Sus scrofa: one gene and its partners. The protein of the gene in region 2 interacts with the protein of the main gene of each other region in a biochemical or structural test. Links are inferred from orthologs where the notes say so. Each region holds a gene or a part of one and is shown on either strand. Other genes may lie near its edges.

What was found.
Region 1: the proteins of MXD1 (region 2) and SIN3A form a complex in vitro, tested with the Homo sapiens proteins (4 studies listed by BioGRID, with this or other methods). The link is inferred for Sus scrofa from reciprocal best matches to the Homo sapiens genes MXD1 and SIN3A.
Region 3: the proteins of MXD1 (region 2) and MAX form a complex in vitro, tested with the Homo sapiens proteins (4 studies listed by BioGRID, with this or other methods). The link is inferred for Sus scrofa from reciprocal best matches to the Homo sapiens genes MXD1 and MAX.

The regions. Positions count from the first base shown.
Region 1 is NC_010449.5:58,169,761-58,175,882, reverse strand, and holds the start of SIN3A (paired amphipathic helix protein Sin3a), read right to left. Parts: upstream 4,063-6,122; 5' UTR 3,794-4,062; intron 3,506-3,793; exon of another isoform or gene 3,482-3,505; intron 17-3,481; exon of another isoform or gene 1-16. UniProt on the Homo sapiens protein: Acts as a transcriptional repressor. Corepressor for REST. Interacts with MXI1 to repress MYC responsive genes and antagonize MYC oncogenic activities. Also interacts with MXD1-MAX heterodimers to repress transcription by tethering SIN3A to DNA.
Region 2 is NC_010445.4:72,524,117-72,529,712, forward strand, and holds part of MXD1 (max dimerization protein 1), read right to left. Parts: intron 1,160-5,596; coding exon 1,045-1,159; exon of another isoform or gene 5-1,044; intron 1-4. UniProt on the Homo sapiens protein: Component of a transcriptional repressor complex together with MAX. In complex with MAX binds to the core DNA sequence 5'-CAC[GA]TG-3'. Antagonizes MYC transcriptional activity by competing with MYC for MAX binding.
Region 3 is NC_010449.5:89,164,204-89,170,358, forward strand, and holds the start of MAX (protein max), read right to left. Parts: upstream 4,063-6,155; 5' UTR 3,751-4,062; coding exon 3,715-3,750; intron 3,545-3,714; exon of another isoform or gene 3,396-3,544; intron 2,971-3,395; coding exon 2,944-2,970; intron 1-2,943. UniProt on the Homo sapiens protein: Transcription regulator. Forms a sequence-specific DNA-binding protein complex with MYC or MAD which recognizes the core sequence 5'-CAC[GA]TG-3'. The MYC:MAX complex is a transcriptional activator, whereas the MAD:MAX complex is a repressor.

The DNA.
Region 1 (6,122 bases), on a different chromosome or scaffold from region 2:
TGGAGGACTCCACGCGTCCCGCCCCGTGCCGTCTCAGCTACAGGCCCAAAAACTCCGCTCCCGCCCTCGCCGGTCATCGCAATGGAAGGCTACCCCTCGCTCTCTGACTGCCCCAGGAAGGTAAGTAACCTATGTGGGATAAAATGTCCGTGAGACTGGGCTCCTCCTACTGCACCGCCTGGCCAGGCCCTGCCCCCAATCATCGGATTGGGTAGCTTGGCGCCGGTAGGATCCTTTATTGGCCAGGATGCCCGTCTAGGAAGAAGCTGACTCCGCCCTGCGCGAGGAGGCTGAACCTTAGCAGTCCTTTTGTGGAATGTTTACACTAGAGACTGAAGAGCAGAGAGTTCCAGGGCCCGAAACAGGAGGTGGTGCGGAGCTCAGCAGCGGGAATCCGATGCCCTGGGACTTGAAAGGGAGGGACGGCAGCATCGCCACCGTGGAGGACCCGCTTACAAAAAAAGAAAAAAAAGAGAGAACCTCATATTTCCTATCCAGCTTTCTCATTACAGTTTACATTTCCGCACGCTGCCTCCTTGCAAACACAAATATCCCAAGCAGCCGACAGCTACTTCCAGTAAGTAAAATACAAAATTATAGGTTAGACACCAATGCCAAGGAATAGCCCCAGGGGTTGCTCAGCCCGCAGCTAGGGGTGACTGCATAGTTCTAAAGCCGACACTCCCTAAACCTGAATATGCAGTCCTAAAAGGGCGGAGATAACCAAAATAAGGGCAGGGCCCTAAGAACCAACGCCCTGGCAAGCCTCCGGAAGGCGGAGCTTGAAGTGTAAGACACTCGCGATCTCCAAAGCAGATCTGGAGGCATCCTCTAACTGGAGGAACTGAGAAAGGAGACTAAACAGACCATGGCATAAATGAAACTTCGCTCCACACTTCAGAGAAAAAATAAAAAATTCCAAAGTTGGGGACAAAAGTAATAACAGCTATATTTCCTCCTCCTTGGCGAGCGAGTGTTAATGACAGTCCCTAGTCCCTCTCTGTGTAGGTAATACAGCCTTGACACAGAGAGACAAAGTGCCTGAGATATCTCGGTTGCTTTTATTTATTCAGTAAATAGGACGAACTGACACTGGCCTTGCTTGGAGGGCGCTCTTGGAGCGCTAGGAGAGGAGGGGGCGGGACTAGTTTTCCCGCTCTCTTCCGCAAAAGGGCTACTCCCCCTAGAGAGCCCAGTGGGTAAGCAAGGGCCAGGCCCCAGGTAATTCACTCCTAAGTCCTAGCTTGTCTTCCCTCGGCAATCAAGCGGAGACGTCAAGAAATGAGTGCGGGCAACAGGTGGGCCTGACTCCAAGCCGCAAGGACAAGCAGCGAACTGTGAACTCCATGAATAGCCGACAGTTGGGGGCAGTCTCGCCGAGAGCCAAGCCTTGCTCCAGGAAGGAACTCAAAAAATAAGTCACACCGACGAAACAGAGGAGACCCCCATGCCAAACCTCTAGAGATTACGAGAAAGCAGCATTTATGCAGAACTGGCCGTGGGCTAATTTAACTCTGCGCCGTCCCCTGCTCCCTAGACTGGGTGGCACACGGTGCTCCCACATGGACATCAAAAACCACTTGGAACCCAAGCCGAATCGGGCCGCCCTCGACTCCTCTGTCAAGAGGGGGTGAGCTGCGCGGGGTCTTGCCTAAGGTGTCCAGGCCAATCCTAGGTTGCTCAGAGTTTTAATAAAGCCAAATAAGGTCAGCAGCTGCTTTGCGCTGAGAAGAAAACACTGCCAGCGTCCGCAGCATTCTGAAGCTTAAGCTTAGGACGATCTCCTAGAAGTCGAGAGTCGCGGGAATAACCAGGCCACAGTGTCAGAAATTTAATACTTGGCCGAGAAGGGCAGACCCCCTCCCTCCTCCCAAATCCTGCACAATCCCGGAAGCTAAGCCCCCCAAATTCACTCTACGCCGTAAAACACTAACTTCATCGTAAAGTCTACCAGATCTCGAGGCTTGGAGGAATCATTGTGTGCCTTCTTGGCTCTCCCCGCCCCCCTTGCCTAGGGCTTCAAGCCCGGGACTTCCGGGCGGGAGGACAGTTCGAAGGAGCAAGGCGGGCCTCACACATGTGCTGAGCGCGCACACACGCTAGGGAGGGGGCGGGGAACAGGGTGGACTTCCCCCTCCTAGCTCGATCCGCCGGAGGAGGAGGGGCTATATATGCCACCAATCAGGAGTAGGGGCGGGACCTTGCGCCTCACGTAAGCCGCAGGAATCCTCCCTCCGCCCTTCATGGAAAAAAATCCTAGCAACTTAAACTCCAGCCCGGCCTCCGATAGGCGGAGCTCGGGAGAATGTCATCCAATCAACAACCGAGAAGGAAAAAAGGGAGTCTCTCCCAGCCAGTGGAAGACAAGAGAAGGCGGGCCCTCTTGAGGAGCCCGAGATGGGTGGAAGAGAGAGAGAGAAAGGCCCCGCCCCTCAGCTCCGCTCCCAGCCGGTTGCACAAGCCGTCGCGGGAGTAGATAGTAAACAGGGTAGGCCAAGGAGTGGAGGCAGGGGCAGCCTAGCGTTCCGTGGGCCCGGGCCCCTGCGCCCCCTCTCGCGGCGTCGCCCCGCCCGACTTCGGCGTTTCGCGCCGGCGCCCCGCCTCCCAACCCGCGGCCGCCATCCCGGCTGACAGGCGCGCCCCCCGCGCCCCTCCCCGCACGCTGATGCATTTCCTTTTCCCGATTCTGAGCGTGGAGACTGTTTTCCCAGTTTCCGACCTTCACTGCCCCTTTCAGGCCACCCCCTCGTGGGCGCGCTCACACGCCTGCGTCCCCGCCTCCACCCCATCCGCAAGCGAGGAGCACGACCGGGGGATGGGAAGGGAGCTGCCGCCGCCTTGGGGTGGGCGGGGAAGGAGGCAGCTCCATGTTTGCAAGGGGATCAGCTGGGGCCGTGAGTCGAAGCCGCCGAGTTCCTGGAGGTTTTCCACACCCCCGGGCCGTGTTCCGGCGCCGAATGCTGGCTCTACTGCCACGGCCCGGGAGTTCGGAGAACCCAGACCGGCGCATGGGGCTAGTGCCGAGGTGCGGGGGCTCTTTCCGGTGGCTTCCCCCGGCTGCCCCTCCCGCAAGTCCGGCGTTGCCCCCGCCCCCAGAGTCCATAACAACCGCGGGCCCTAGGCACCCGCGCCTCTCCTGAGCGCGCCCACCGCCCCCTCGGACAAGTTTGCAGACAGAAACAAAACCCTCGGGCGGCTGCCGCCTTCGCCCAGCGTCGTTAGCGGGGAAAGCCACGGGCCCCGGCTCCCTTGCTAACTCCAGCTCTCGACCAACTCCGGGCGCCGCGGACTCAGTGGGCCCGGCCAGCCGGGCTCAGGCCGCCGCCCCCTGCCGAGCCCGCGCGCCGCAGCCCAGGCCTGGTTCCAGTCGGTGTACGGAATCTCCCCTTTTTTCTTCTTTACAATAATTTTTTAAGGCATTCCAGGAGCGAGGAGGATCTCCTCCTGCTGGCACCTTACCCAGTTCGCCGCCGAAACCTACCGAAACCGGCCGCTCGGTGAAATAAACTAGGCAGCACGGCCGGCACACTGGCGACCCCAGGCCGGGCCGACCCCCTCCCCACGGATCCGGCCGGGCTTGGAAACACACTGGCGAGCGGGCGGCGCCAAGAGCTCTCCTTCCTGGCCTGCCCCTCGCCTCCCTCGGCCGCCGGACTCCAAGCTCCCCTAGCTCCGTCCCAGGACCCGTTGCGCCGGTACCAGGGCGCACTGGCCGAAGCGACCGGCTGGTGAACTAGCCCCCCAAAACGCCCAAGATTGGGGAGACCAAATTAAAAGCAGCTGTTTAACATACCTTCCGAGCCAGGCGAGGAGTCCTGAATGGGGGGGAACGCCCCCCACGGGCCATTGGCTCCCCGCTGCTCTCGTCAGTCATCCTGGGCCCGCCTCCCCGCCTTGCTCCACCTCTTCCCCTTCATTGAACGCCCCCTCCCTCCAAAAAAAAATCCAAATAAATAGATTAAAGTATCCGTGAGTGTGAGCCGCATCTGTGACAGAGGACCCTATATCGAAGGTACCGCCGCTTCGAATTTCTTGAGGCCTTTGGACTGGAAGGAGACCTACTGTGACTCGGAGATCCTCTGGGTGGACACGGAGGAGGAGCTAGCCGGGCTACCCAGCCCCTACTTCCTTCACACACACACCCCATTTGGAACTGAGCAGAGGGAGGCGGGTAGGGATACCCTAGCGACTGGCTGCAATGTCCCGACTCCCCTGGCTGTGTAACCTAACCGTGGACGGCCCATTTTCTGTTAGGCGACTGCCTAAAAATGAACGGTGTAATTGGAAAGTCGTATGTTCCGGGCAACAGGCACTTGCCTGAGCACTTTCTGGGGTGAGGCAGACAGAGTCATACCGCACCTGCTGCTTGGGTGCGATTACAGAGACTGAATGAGATGCTCACTCTGCACTATCCAAGGACTCCAGATCTATCTACCTGAGGAGATGCTACAGAAAGAACTAAGGCAATGCAGAAATGTATATATAAATAGACATCCACAGAATCTCGGAGCAAGGAGCTTCTTTCTGAGGAAAAGTGGTAAAGTCTTCCTGGAGGAGGTGGCACGCAAGTTGGGTCTTAAAGATTTCATCAGGCGGAAGTGGAGGGGCAAGTCATTTTCAGCAAAGGACACATAGAGGTGAATGCAAAATATTAAGAAACACTAAAAGTGTGGCTGTAGTCATGAAAATCAGGTTTGGAAAGATGGAGTCAGAGAACAGAACACTATACTACCTTGTTAAAATTCTCAGGCTTGCACAGCAGAATGTGCAAGCAACATGACTGGTCACAAAATCACGGGCCCAAAACTATGGTTTAAGATGCTCAACATCCCAGCAGCTGGATGGATTCTGAGGGTAGGTTGAATGAAGCGTGCCTGCAGGCAGGAAAGTGAAGCAGAAAGGCTGTTGTAATAATGGGTTTGGAGATTACAGAGTTACATATTCTGGTGGGAGGGGTGGGTGGAGAGAGCCAAGAGGTTTCATCTCTCTCCAAGCCCCCAATCCAGAAACCCTTCCCTATCAGCAGTCCTCACATCAAAACTCTGCCTCACATGCCTCTGTGAATCATTTGTAGTGTTTTTGTCATAACTTTACACCAAAAGAGTTTTGGCAGGGGTAGCAGGGACAGAGGCTACCCCACATATCACCAAGCCTGGGGCCAGGGTACACAGTGGGTGAGGAAGAAAGACTTATTGATTGATGGATCCAGGTAATTCATGTGAATGATGTAGAATGTGCAGAAAGTGAAGGGCCTTAAAGTCCTGTGAGCAGAATGGGAGTCTGCTGCCAGTTAGGCTATCCCAACAATTCAGGTGAGATGTAACGAGGACTTGACCAGGGCTGTGGCTATGGGTAAGCAAGAATACAAATGGAGAACTGCAGTGGCTTGGGTGCTGTGGAGACACTGGTTCAATCCCCTGTAAGTACAGTGGGTTAAAGGATCCAGCATTGCTGCGGCCGCAGTATAGGAGTCAGTCCCTGGCCCAGGAACTTCCACATGCATGGCTGTAGCCGAAAAGAAATTTTTTTAGTAAAAATAAAACCAGAGAGATGTGGTTGAGAAAGACTGAAGACTACTGGGTGACCGATTCAGTGTGGGTAATGGAGGGAAAGGAAGAGTCAGTGGCAGTGACCTGGTGCGTGAAAAGGTAGAAGACCTTGAGGCTAATGGTTCAGTAATCTGGGTTCTAGATTGATCACCACTAATGACTTGGTAGAATACCTTTAGACAAGTCCCTTCCTCCCTGTGAAATAGAGCCTCAGGTGCCTGTAGAAAGACAGGCTCTAAGGACACTTACTTCACTCAGAGTCCATAGGATGGGGGTCTAATGGGGAGGGAGGCTTGCCACTAAGGAGAAAGGGCAGGTGGGTAGAAATACTGATTTGGGGAGGGAAGTGAGTCATCTCAGAGGACTAGAATTTGGGTGGTAGCTTGGTTGATGGAATCACTAAGGGAGAGTGTAGAGGGAGAAAGTCCAGGAGGCGAAAATTATTCAGTGGAAGGCCCAACACCTGGCAGGGCCATGGAGGTTGAGGTTCATTATCAGATTGGGGCTCTGTAGAGTAGAGGCCAAGTCTTTTGTTTGTTTGGGGGAGGGGGGGTGCTTTTTTTCTGGCCGCCT
Region 2 (5,596 bases):
CCAGAACTGCCATGTATGCCGGCTACTAACCCTGATTCAAGTGACATTTGTCCAGTCACGGACTCTATGACTATAAAAACATGCTCAACAGTGATGCTGGCTGTGGCTCTCAGGAGTTGCCATTTGCTGTTTAAGCCACATACTGAGTGCTGACTCTGTCTCAGACCGTCTGGGAGGTGTGGAGACACAACGGGAACACAAAGATCTGGTCTCCTTCCTTGTGGGGTCTATATTCTAACAGAGCAGATGGAAACAACTACAGTCACATAAACCATGGTCAGATGTCACTTGTGACATGTGCTAAGAGAGAGATCCAATAATAAGGACCATCTGTCTCGGGAAGGAGGTGACTGAGTCAGGGAAGGTTTCCCTGCACTGGGGATACCCGTGCCGAGGTCTGAAGGATGACAAGAAGCTCACTAGGTGAAGAAGGGAGGGGAGAGCATACTAAGCAGAGGGCACAGCATGTACAAACGCCCTGTGGTGGGAGAGCCTGGCAACGGGTGGAAAGAAGGGCTGGGGAGTGTCTGGCACAAGCTGCTGCCCCAAGGGCAAAGGAGGCTGGGTCGGGCAGGCCTGGTGATACAATGTGTCCTGAGCTGTGGAAGAATTTTAAAACACGGTGACATGTAGATTTTAGCTCTGGCAAGACTGTTCTTGGGAAGTATGGAGATTAGCTTGGAGGAGGCCTCTGAGGAGTTTACTGCAGTAGCTGACGGGGTTTGTGGAAATAGAGCAGCTGTGACATGGGTGAGTTGTGGACACACGTGGCTAAGGAGCACAATGATCATCAAGATCGAGGATGACCCTGCATTTCTGGCTCATGCATCAGATGGAGGGACAGTTTCATTTCTGAAACACACACCGGGTGAGAACTACTCAGTTGGGTTCTGGACGTGTTGAGTCTGTGTTCATCCAAGAGGCAGGCTGGAGGAATTGAGAGGAGAGAACTGTCCTGGCGAATCATATCCGTCCCTCATAACAACAAACAAGCCCTCACCAGGTAGGTAAAGACAGAAGGACACCATCCCAGGATGCTCTTACCTTTATGTGCAATTTGGCTTTTGTTAATAAACTCAACGTGGTGTGTCGATTTGATTCTGGACCAAGTGGCACCAGCCCCTTCAATTTTTCCAGGCACAAGCGAAGGTGGGCCCGTCTACAAAAACAAGATCACAGTAGGATCTGAGACTTTCACAGCTGGCCAGAAGTACCCAGGAGAACAAGCTCTAGAGAGTATGAAGCGGCCTGGGCCCAGTGATGCAAATGCCACCAGTGACCTCTGGCCAAATGAGCATCTTTTGAAATTAGACAATTCTGATAAAAATCAAAAGCAAAACCCAGGGTTTTCTAGAGTTAAGTAGAGATAAATACTATTATTAAGCACATGTATCAGGTTATCTCCAGGTATCTAGGTTATGATGAGACCTACAGAACATCCAAATTCAGAAAGTAATGACATTATCACTGAAGAGAATCCTTAGAACTCATATTGCTCTTTCCCCTTTCAGGGCCAAAAAATCTCTACAACTATATTTCATTGTATCTAATATTTACCCATGTGTATGGTTATTCATTACAACTTTAAAATAAATTAATTGCAATAATTCATTACATAAATCATTGTAACTTTATTTGTAAAGATTGAAACAACCCAGATCATCAATAGGGAATTAAGCAAATAAACCACGGTACATCCATACACTGGACTACTATGCAACCATGAAAAAAGAATGAAAATGTGCTCTATGTACTATTCAGAAGAACACTCAGATGTACTGTTAGGTGAAGAAAAGCAAGATATCAAATTGCATATAACATGCTATCTTTGGGTAAAAATGGATGAAAAAATTGTCTATATTCATGTTTTCTTGTACGACATAAAGTCTGGAATGATACATAAGGAATGAGTAATAGTGGTTGGGCAGAGAGGAGTCAGGATAACTGGACAGGGACAGGGAAAGGGGGGGATTTTTAAAAAATAATTTGTTATAGTTCTCAGTTTTTCAACCATTCAAAAAGTGAAATGTATTTTTTAAAAATAAGGAAGAAGCCCATCCAGTGGTATTGCTCTACTAACAAGCTTGCTGACGGCTAGAGAGAACCACACACGTAGGGTTGGAAGGTGGCAGAATAGCGCAATGGGACAGGGTGAGAGAAAGGCCACGTGAGGCAGAAGCCACAGAGACCCACCAAGGAGACAGCATTTAGCACAGACTGACCAGAAGCATGAGAGTCCCTAAAATTTTGGAAATTAACACTTCACTGAAACTTTGGTTCAGGCTTTATCCTAGATCCCAGCAGATTCCATGAATGTGAGAAACAGCCAAGATTCAGAGTTTTTGCTTCAGCGCATCACCTCCTTAAAGCCATTCCAGTCCCTAGCGAATCCTTCGTTTTCTGAGTATGTATTTGTTTATGCCATTCATTGGGAAATTCACTGTTTTACCTGATTTTTTTTGGTATTTATTATTTAACTGTTCATTGCCAGCTCCTCAGAAAGCTGGAGCTGCAACTTAATCACTGCCGGGTTGCCTGGGTACCGTCCTCTCCTGTATCTCACTACACATTGGCTGCATGAATGCTGTCTGTCTTTCACTCGACTTCCAGCTTCTCTGAGCAGCAGTGCTCAGGGTCCTGGGCTTTTAGACACATGTCCACTGTCCCTCACAGCAACCTGGAGCAGAGCTCCTGGGAGCCTGGGAAGCTGCCCTCTAGCTGAACTGGGAGGCAATCGAAAAGCTTCATTGGCCCTTTTTCCCTCTTAAAAAATTTTACCATATTAGCAAAATTTGGGATCGAAAGAAAACTACTTGAGAAAGCTCTAATACAGGTCCGTGCCTGATACTGACCAAGGCAGTCACTTCACACCCTTCATATCAAGACTTCGGGATGTTCCCCCCAAGGCAGATCTGACAAGTGGTTCTGAGTGCCCTGCCGCTTCTGCTTCTGGGCCTCCTTCCTGTTCTGGCTCTTGAGGTTGTCCTAGACTCTCCAAGGCCCCTCTAAGCCATGACGAGCTCGAGGAGCCCAACGTTCCTTCCTGAGCTGGGACAATGTCGTGGTACAAATACCTTACTATTCTGTAAGTCTCTCGCTTGCTCTGAAAACCTGCCCACGTGGAATGGCCACAAGCAAAAGCTCACATTAGAGGCGTTTGTTCCTCCAACTACTGCATGAGAAAAAAACAAACAACAGAACCTGTGTATAAAATACACGTTCACCTAGGATAATATTCTTCAAAAAGAGCCATGAAAACAGATCGTGTTACTAGAAACACCGTGAGAAAGTATGATTAGTCACTTGCACAGTTATCCAACTTATTTTCACCACAAAGCATAGATTGTCAAATTTTTAAAACAGTTCAAAAATTAAAATTATATTTAGACATTTTTCAGCCTGCTCATAATTTGCAAAGACTACATGATTCAGAACAGCGTCATATTATTCCTTTTATGATGTGGGTTTATCTACAGATATGAGAATGTAAAGTTTTAAGGGAAGTTTGTCTACTGATAAAAAATAATAGAGTCATCTTTCCATGCACTGTCATTTCTAGTTACACAGGGAGTCTAGCCCAGAAAGTACAATTTTCACTACCCAAATGTGGGTTTCTAAAGAACACTCCGAGTTATGAAACTCGAAATTAGCTATTTGACAAATTCAGGCTTAGGATAATACATGTTCATTTGGTGTTTCCTAGCCAAGTTTTATGAAAATAGGACCAGAGCACTTTCTGGATTGTTGCAGAGATCCAAAGCCAGCTTGTTTAACTGGCAGTGCCTGCCTTGGCCTGCTCCAGCCTGATGGCTGCCCTGCCCACCTGCCAACCACCTGCAGACACATCCCCGTGGGTGCCTGGGCCAACCTCAGGGGAGGGGCGAGGTATGGGAAGCAGGCTCCGTTCTGTCGTATAGTAGTGAAATTCAATTCCTGAACCAGACAAAAAAGCAGACGGGCTCCTCTGTGACAGCTCCCACTGAGGGTCCTCCACCTTGAGACACACCACTCTGGGACCTGGACTCCTTCAGCCAGCCGTGAGCACCCATGGAACACCAGATCCAAAACCAGGAGAACCAGCTCTCTGTGTCAGCTCTCTGTCCTCAGTCCTGACCATTGCCCTGCCCAGGGCGCTGGCCTTCTAGAAGGGGCCTAGTGTCCTATTGTGATCCAGGTCTAATCCCTCTTTCAGGAACTAGCAGGGGTTTGCCACATCTCAAAAGGAAGCCACTCACTACCTCCCTCTGACCCCTGCTTGAATCTCCTCTGTCACATTTCCAGAGAGGCCTCCTCCTGTTGTCCAAGCTGCCTCCCAGCTCCTGAACCCCAGCTCGCTCCCATCCCAACTGCTGCCTCTTTCTGCGCCTCTTTCTGTGTTGATCCAGCTGCTTTGTAAAACTCACCTGCTGACTCTTCAGAAATCTCGCTCTCATCATCCTGAATGGGTTGATACATACCTTCGGTCTCCGGGAGCAGAGAGACACCAGTCTTTGATCTGAGCTACAGCCAGTGAAGCTTTGAATCAAGCATGGCCTGTAACTAGTGATAACTAAACTAGATACAAACTAGAGCTTCTCTTCAGTAAGTTTTTTTTTTTTTTTTAAGTTTTGTTTTTGTTGTTGTTGTTTGTCTCTTTGATTTTTTAGGGCCCAACCTGTGGCATATGGAGGTTCCCTGGCTAGGGGTCTAATCAGAGCTGTAGCTGCCGGCCTATACCACAGCCACAGCAATGCCAGATCCGAGCCGCGTCTGCGCTCACGGCAATGCCAGATCCTTAACCCATGTAGGGAGGCCAGGGATGGAACCCGCAACCTCATGGTTCCTAGTCAGATTCGTTTCCGCTGCGCCACGACAGGAACTCCTTTTTTTAGTATTTTAAATTATTTTTCTATTCTGAACCTGTCAGTCACTATACAACCAAGTATTAGTGCAGTGATTAAAGGTAAAGGTTTGGGATGCTGGCCTTGCTGCTGCTTCTTTGTGTGGCCTTGAGAAGCTACTTCACTCCATGTGGCATCGGTTTCCTTGGCAGTCGAGGGAGGATGACAGGCCTCCCTGTGAGGGCTGTTGTGAGTATTAACTGAGGCAGGTGTGGAAGTGCCTGGCTGGGGTCTGACATGAAGAGCTCTGTATATGGCAACAGTTACTCTTTCCATCCTTGCTTCCTTGAGGAAGGATAATGCTGGAGCAAACACAGATAATTATAACCCTATCATATTCCTTTCAAAATCAATAGGGAACTCAGAGCATCTCACTGGGTAAAATAGAGGCTATCTGGTAAGATTCAGTTCACTCAACTCTTCCTTAAAGAAAATGGACATCTTTTGTCATTAAAAGATTTGATGGAAAGTCTAACCCATTTTCTATGGAAATACAGGTCTTGTTTATGCTAAAGGTACTATTACTATTATTATTATTATTTGGCTATGCCCACAGCTTATGAAAGTTCCCAGGCCAGCGGTCAAACACGTGCCATAGCAGTTACCTAAGCTGCTATAGTGACAGTGTTAGATTAAACATTTAAAAATTCACAAGAATTTTATAAAGCTAACACATGCAAAAGGAAAGGCTTTTGTGGCCACACACATCATGCAGA
Region 3 (6,155 bases), on a different chromosome or scaffold from region 2:
AGTAGCTTCCTGAGTAAATTCCTCCAAAGGTAACCAAACTCACTCCCTTCTGAATACATGGCAATTCCTAAAGAAACAAAGAGTTCTGTTTAAAATATTTCATACCAGGAAGATCCAGAAACGGAATTGTACAAATCTGTTTCCAACCCTCCCAACAGGTATACTATAACCAGAACTATGGAGCTGTCATGGACGAGAAGCTGAAAAAGGTCGTGGGTTTCCAACTACCACACTAACCCTACATTTCTTGTATACTTTCATTCTTTCCAAAAAAAAAAAAAAAAAAAAACCCCAAATGACAACAAAACCCAAAAAAACCCAGAAATAAAACAAAGATCACTTTGCATAAATATCCCTGCACCAGAAAATTGTCTTTGAAATGCAATCTTCCTCCTCCAAAAAATAACAAAAATAATATAACATCAGTGGGACTCTGAGATGTATTGAGTTTAATAATAAAAATTATCGTCTGGGGTTACTTCCTTTAACGAAGCTTATTGGGCACTAGAGAAGCTGTTTTCTGTTTGCACTGAGGCAAAAGAAAAAATACTCGTCAAATCAGTTTCACTTTCTGTTACAGTTAGCCTCGCTTCCTAACTCTCTTCTTGCTGAGTATCCTACATGTCTTATATAGTAAGGCCGGAGCTGTTGTAGTAATATTACAAAACATGAATGAGCGTCTCCTTCTATATTAGGACTCAAAGGACCTTTGCCAAATAACTTTTAAAAAAGTTCTTCTGTAGTCCTGAATATTTGGTTGTTCACAGTCCTCATCCTTTTCCGAACTAACACAATGCTTAAGAATAGCTCCCCGCCACCCAAATTTTAAAGAATATATTTATTTATACTAAATGTCAGGAAATAAACATATATTCACACAGAAAAAAAAAGAACTCCTTTTTATCCTACGTGTTCATAATTGCTTGATATGCTATAAAATCTGTCTACTGCTTCTTCTCTCCATGTCGTTGTGATCATCTTAACAGATATTTAAAACGTCTTAGCAAGATGTGTCAAATTAAAAACAAAGGGTAAAACCCACTCCCTTTGCCCACCCTCCAAAATCAAAAGGAAAAATCCTAGGTACCTTAATATCAAAACTGAAAATATCTAGACAAAACAATGAGATTAGTGTTCTAGGAAAGTGGAAACATTTTAATAATTTACTAAAACAATTTATATCATTAGCCACATGGATGGATATTCTGAAAAGCAGAAAGCTCTTGAGAACTGTAAGCCAAAATTTCATAAAGAAAATTTTTGTCTCACTGGAAAGCTAATATAATTCCAATTTAAATAATGATTCTGCAAAGGAAGCCTAAATAATTCCTATCCTCCAATCCTCATCCAGCCCTAGGGCAGATTTTATAACTGGAGACTTTCAGGGAAAAAAAAATGTTTCAAATAGACTGGGTTCCAAACATGAAATTCCATAGTCACATTAATAAGGAAGGCAATAACTGAAAAAGACCTTAATTTTCCAAAATATGTATAAATATGAAGTATTTGACAATACTTCATACATTCAAAATATTACCTTCAAATCCTTCAAGGAAAAAATAAAACAAATTCTTTTTTAGTGACTATTACCAGGGATAATTTTAAGACCCCTGGGACAACTGCATTCTTTGATTTTATGAAAATAACGGCTCTCGATAATTTTTTCTAAATGGATAACTGCTTAGACAACCTCAGAATCTCTGCTCTAAAGAATAGCAGGTATAAGTTAGAGGGCTTGCTTTTATTCTGTGAGAATTAAATTCTTAGATCAGAGGTCTCCAAGCAGAATGTGGCAATTCTAACAAGCTCCTGAACAACTTGGTTGTCCCAAACGTTATTTTGAAAATCAGAAGAACATTATAATCCAGATTTCTAAAATTTCTTTTAAAATAGAAAGATAAGGCAATACTGAGTCCTCAATCCCACTGGACTGGCCACCTTTTTAGGAGAGGCATGGGCTCTCTAGTACCCCAGTCCTCACCTGTGCCCTCAATTCCTGACTATCTCACTGCCAGGGCTCCCTAGAGACATCTAAACTTTTGACCCCCATTCTATACACTTCCTACTGTTCCCATCTGTCAAATATTAGACACTATGATATACTCATTTCTCTTCCCCTTTGATTTTTTTCCTCCTCTGATCTATTCATGGAACACCCACAGTACTATCCCATACTCCAAAGACATGAGATTATGTCTATCCTAATCCATAGAACCACTTATGGAAAACATTAATATCAAAACTCTGAGAAATCATTGATAACACTTTACAGTCTCAACCACCACTTCCTAGCAAACTTCACTCTGCAATGCCACTTTTCTTCAACAATTCTACCTTCTTTATACTGCTCCTTCGACTCAAATACAGTCAGACCGTAATAAGCTGCTGAATATGACACGGTCACATTCAACCTTTGGCTCCTCTACAGTTCCAATTTCTGCATTAAAGTAATACCAAATTGTGCTAGATTCCATAGGTTTACAGAAGTCACATGACTTTTGGTTAAAGGTGATTTCTCCATGTGGCTTCAACTTCACACAACTATTCAGATAGTTTAGAACCTACTGTTCTTAAATAAATCTGACCACTTCTTCCTGAAAGAGTACAATTTACTTCAACATGGTGCATTTCTCATTCCCCATTTAAATAGTGACAGCTAGAACTCTCATCTAAACACTACAGAAAGATTCATTTCCCTGCATACAGCTTCTCTCACTCACCTACAGCCACTGGAACTTATCACCTGAGAATCTAGAATTATGAGATTTACAAACCCGCCCCCCACCACCACCTACAACCCCAGGACAAGGCCCCACCTCACCTTAGCGGTTAACAGGAGAGTTTACTACAATATTAAAAGCAACAGAACTCTTTTTCTCTCTAACCCCAAAAAGGACTAGAACTGAACGGAAATGAAAATGAAATGGAGAGTAGGAGACGTACCGCAGATTGAAACCTCGGTTGCTCTTCCTGGAATAAGAGAGAAAAAAAAAATAGAAAATATAGAAGTTATTTTTACACTTCACATTCAATAATAAGAAAGAAAATGCCGGCGGCAGAGGAAGCGGCGGGTGGGGAGTAAGCCTTACCTCCCCCTCCCTCCCTTCCCACCCCACGCCCCCATCCCTCCTCCCCAGCTGGATCCGGTAGGGGGGCGGGGGGGGGTCCGAGCGCCACCCCTCCTTCCGGGATCCGAACCGGGCGAGAGGGGGTCCACAGCACTGTCTCCTCCCCTTGCACCCAGCTCAGGACTTCTGGGCACTCCCAAACCCTCTCTGCCCTCCCTCACCCCCCAGGATCCGCCAGTCAAGGGAGGAGGGGGCCGTGGGCCTAAGGGGCAGGTCCCGAACGCCGTCCCCTTCCCCAGAATCCGGACAATGGGATCCCGAGCGCACCCTGTCCCTATGTCCCGGATCCTGAGCCAGCCAGAGAGAGAGTAGGAGACGGCAGCACCTTCCCCCACGGGGGGAGGTGGGGGTCCCAGAGGCCGCGTGTCTCCTCCCCACCTCCAGACCCAGAAGGCCGCTCCGGCCAGGAGCCCGGAGGGGAGCGAGCGGGGAGCGCGACGGAGGCGGTCCCAGCCCGGGGGGTGGGGGTGGGGGAAGGGGAGAGGCGGCAGCTGCCCGGCCCCCTGCCGCAGTCGCCCTGCTGAAAATCCCGGCCGCTGTCCCCGCCTGACAACTCGCAAGGGAAGGAAGAAGCCCCAGGACTCACGTCGCTCTCCACCTCGATGTCATCGTTATCGCTCATTTCCTACGGCCCAGGGAGCGGCCACTGCAGCGGCGGCAGGGAAGGGGGAGGGGTGGAGGGGAGGGGGAAGTCACCGACAACAACAAGCCGAATCTCCACACACACACACACACTCACTCACTCGCTCTCTCACTCACACACACACTCACACACACACACACACACACACAACACGGGCGAGAACCACCTCCTCACTGCAGCACCGGATCAACGGCGGCACGCACGCCCGGTCGGCCCCCTGCCACGTGACCAAGCTCGTCACGCTGGGGCCGCCGAGACTTGTAGTTCATATCCCTTTGAATGATGGCCCGGCTAGCTCCAGAGAAACTACAAATCCCATAAAGAACTGCATCCAGTCATTCCCAGCCCGACTTGTTGACGGAGCCCAGAGCGCCTGCGTGTCCGGTGGAGCAGGGGGGAGTGGAGAGAGGAGCGGCGCGATGCCTGCCGGGAGTCGTAGTCCGCAGACCGCGAGTTGTCAGGAGATTTTCCTACAGAGGCAGCAGAGGTGGCTGCTGGGAAGACAGGACACGTGGAGGGAGCTGGGACTCCTGGAGCCGGGCACTGTCTGGGCGCCTGGCCCAGGGGACAGGGTGGAGGCTGTGGACGAGTAGCCGGTTGCCGAAATAACGCTGTCTCTCCTTGATGCGACTGGTTTTACTTTGTTTTCTAGACCTCTGAGTCGCTCTGTGTTGTGCTCTGGGGCGTAACCCGTCTGCTGTGGGATCCTGCTGCGGGGGACTAGGGGGCGCGGCTGCGGATGCTCACGTGGACCCTGGGGATCTGGTAGCGAAGAGGTGTCAATGGCAGGTGTTAGTGTTACTGGACAGGCAGGATGACCGGCCTAGCTGAGGGACCATTCCCACGAGACTCTTGTATTCATTCACCCTGGAGTGACCATTTTGCTACTCAAGTGAGGCTTGTACATTCCCAGATCCTGACCCTCAACAACTGCTTACGTGGAAATAAAAACGCCTTCTGAATTGGTTGTAGTCTAAGCAGTTTAAGAAGTGCCCCAGTTCAGAGTAGCATAATCAGTATATCAAATGAGAAACAGCTCTCTATCCACTTAAAATCCCACTTAAAAACTGCTGTATGCGGGAGTTTTAGTCGTGGCGCAGTGGTTAACGAATCCGACTAGGAACCATGAGGTTGCAGGTTCGATACCTGGCCTTGCTCAGTGGGTTAACGATCCGGCGTTGCTGTGGGCTGTGGTGTAGGTTGCAGACGCGGCTCGGATCCCGCGTTGCTGTGGCTCTGGCTAGGCTGGCAGCTACAGCTCTGATTCGACCCCTAGCCTGGGAACCTCCATATGCCGCGGGAGCGGCCCAAGAAATAGCAAAAAGACCAAAAAAAAAAAAAAAAAAAAACCAGCAACAACAAAAAAACAAAAACTGCTGCATGCGGTATGATCATAGCTATTTCCCCAATATTTATTGAACACCTAACATATGCCAGCACAAGAATGCCATAATGTATAAGACCTGAACGTTACCCATCTTCATGAAGCCCACAGTTGTGGAAACAAAAACGAGACTGCCCTGCTGCCAATTTAAGAGTATGTTCATCAAGTACCACCGGAAGAAAAATACTACTACTAAGAAAAAGTAACTGAACCACACTTTACACCTGGTTTCGAAAATGAATGATATCTTGAGCTTTTCCATCAGTTACTGATTCCCTAATGCAAACCATTTTATCCCTGACTTTTGATTACAGAAATTTGGGAATATGTCATTTGTGACATATCTCCCCATGTGCGCACACTACCCCAGCTGAAGAGGCAAATGTAAACATGGTAATCTTTACATTTTTCCTTTAACATCTGTTGTGTTCCTTATTCAGTAATCCAGTCCTACTGAAGTCTGCACATCTTTGCAAGTAAACTTATCTTTTCTAAATGCTTTTGTTTCAGTCTTCCTTTCACTCTAAGTGGAGGAGACAGACATAAGCAGACCATTGTAAGAGCCGCTGGGATATATAAGGGAGACAGAGAAGGTAGTTCTCGGATGAGCTAATCTGCTGGAAGTTAGGGCTAATTCATGATTACAACAATTATTGATTGGCGGTTATGTGCAAGGCACTATAAGGCAACACAGGCTACAAGTTAAAATCACTCTGAGGCATTACAAATCCTTTAAAAAATTTTCATCTTCTTTTTATGGCTGCACCTGTGGCATTTGGGAGTTCCCAGGCTGGGGGTCGAATCAGAGGTACAGCTGAGGCCTTAAGCCACAGCCACTGCAAGGCAGGGTCCAAGCTGCATTTGAGAACCTACACTGCAGCTTGTGGCAACACCAGATCCTTAACCCACTGAGGGAGGCCAGGGATAGAAGCCGAATCCTCAGGGACATTATGCTAGCTTCTTAATCCGCTGAGCCACAACAGGAACTCCTGTTTTACAA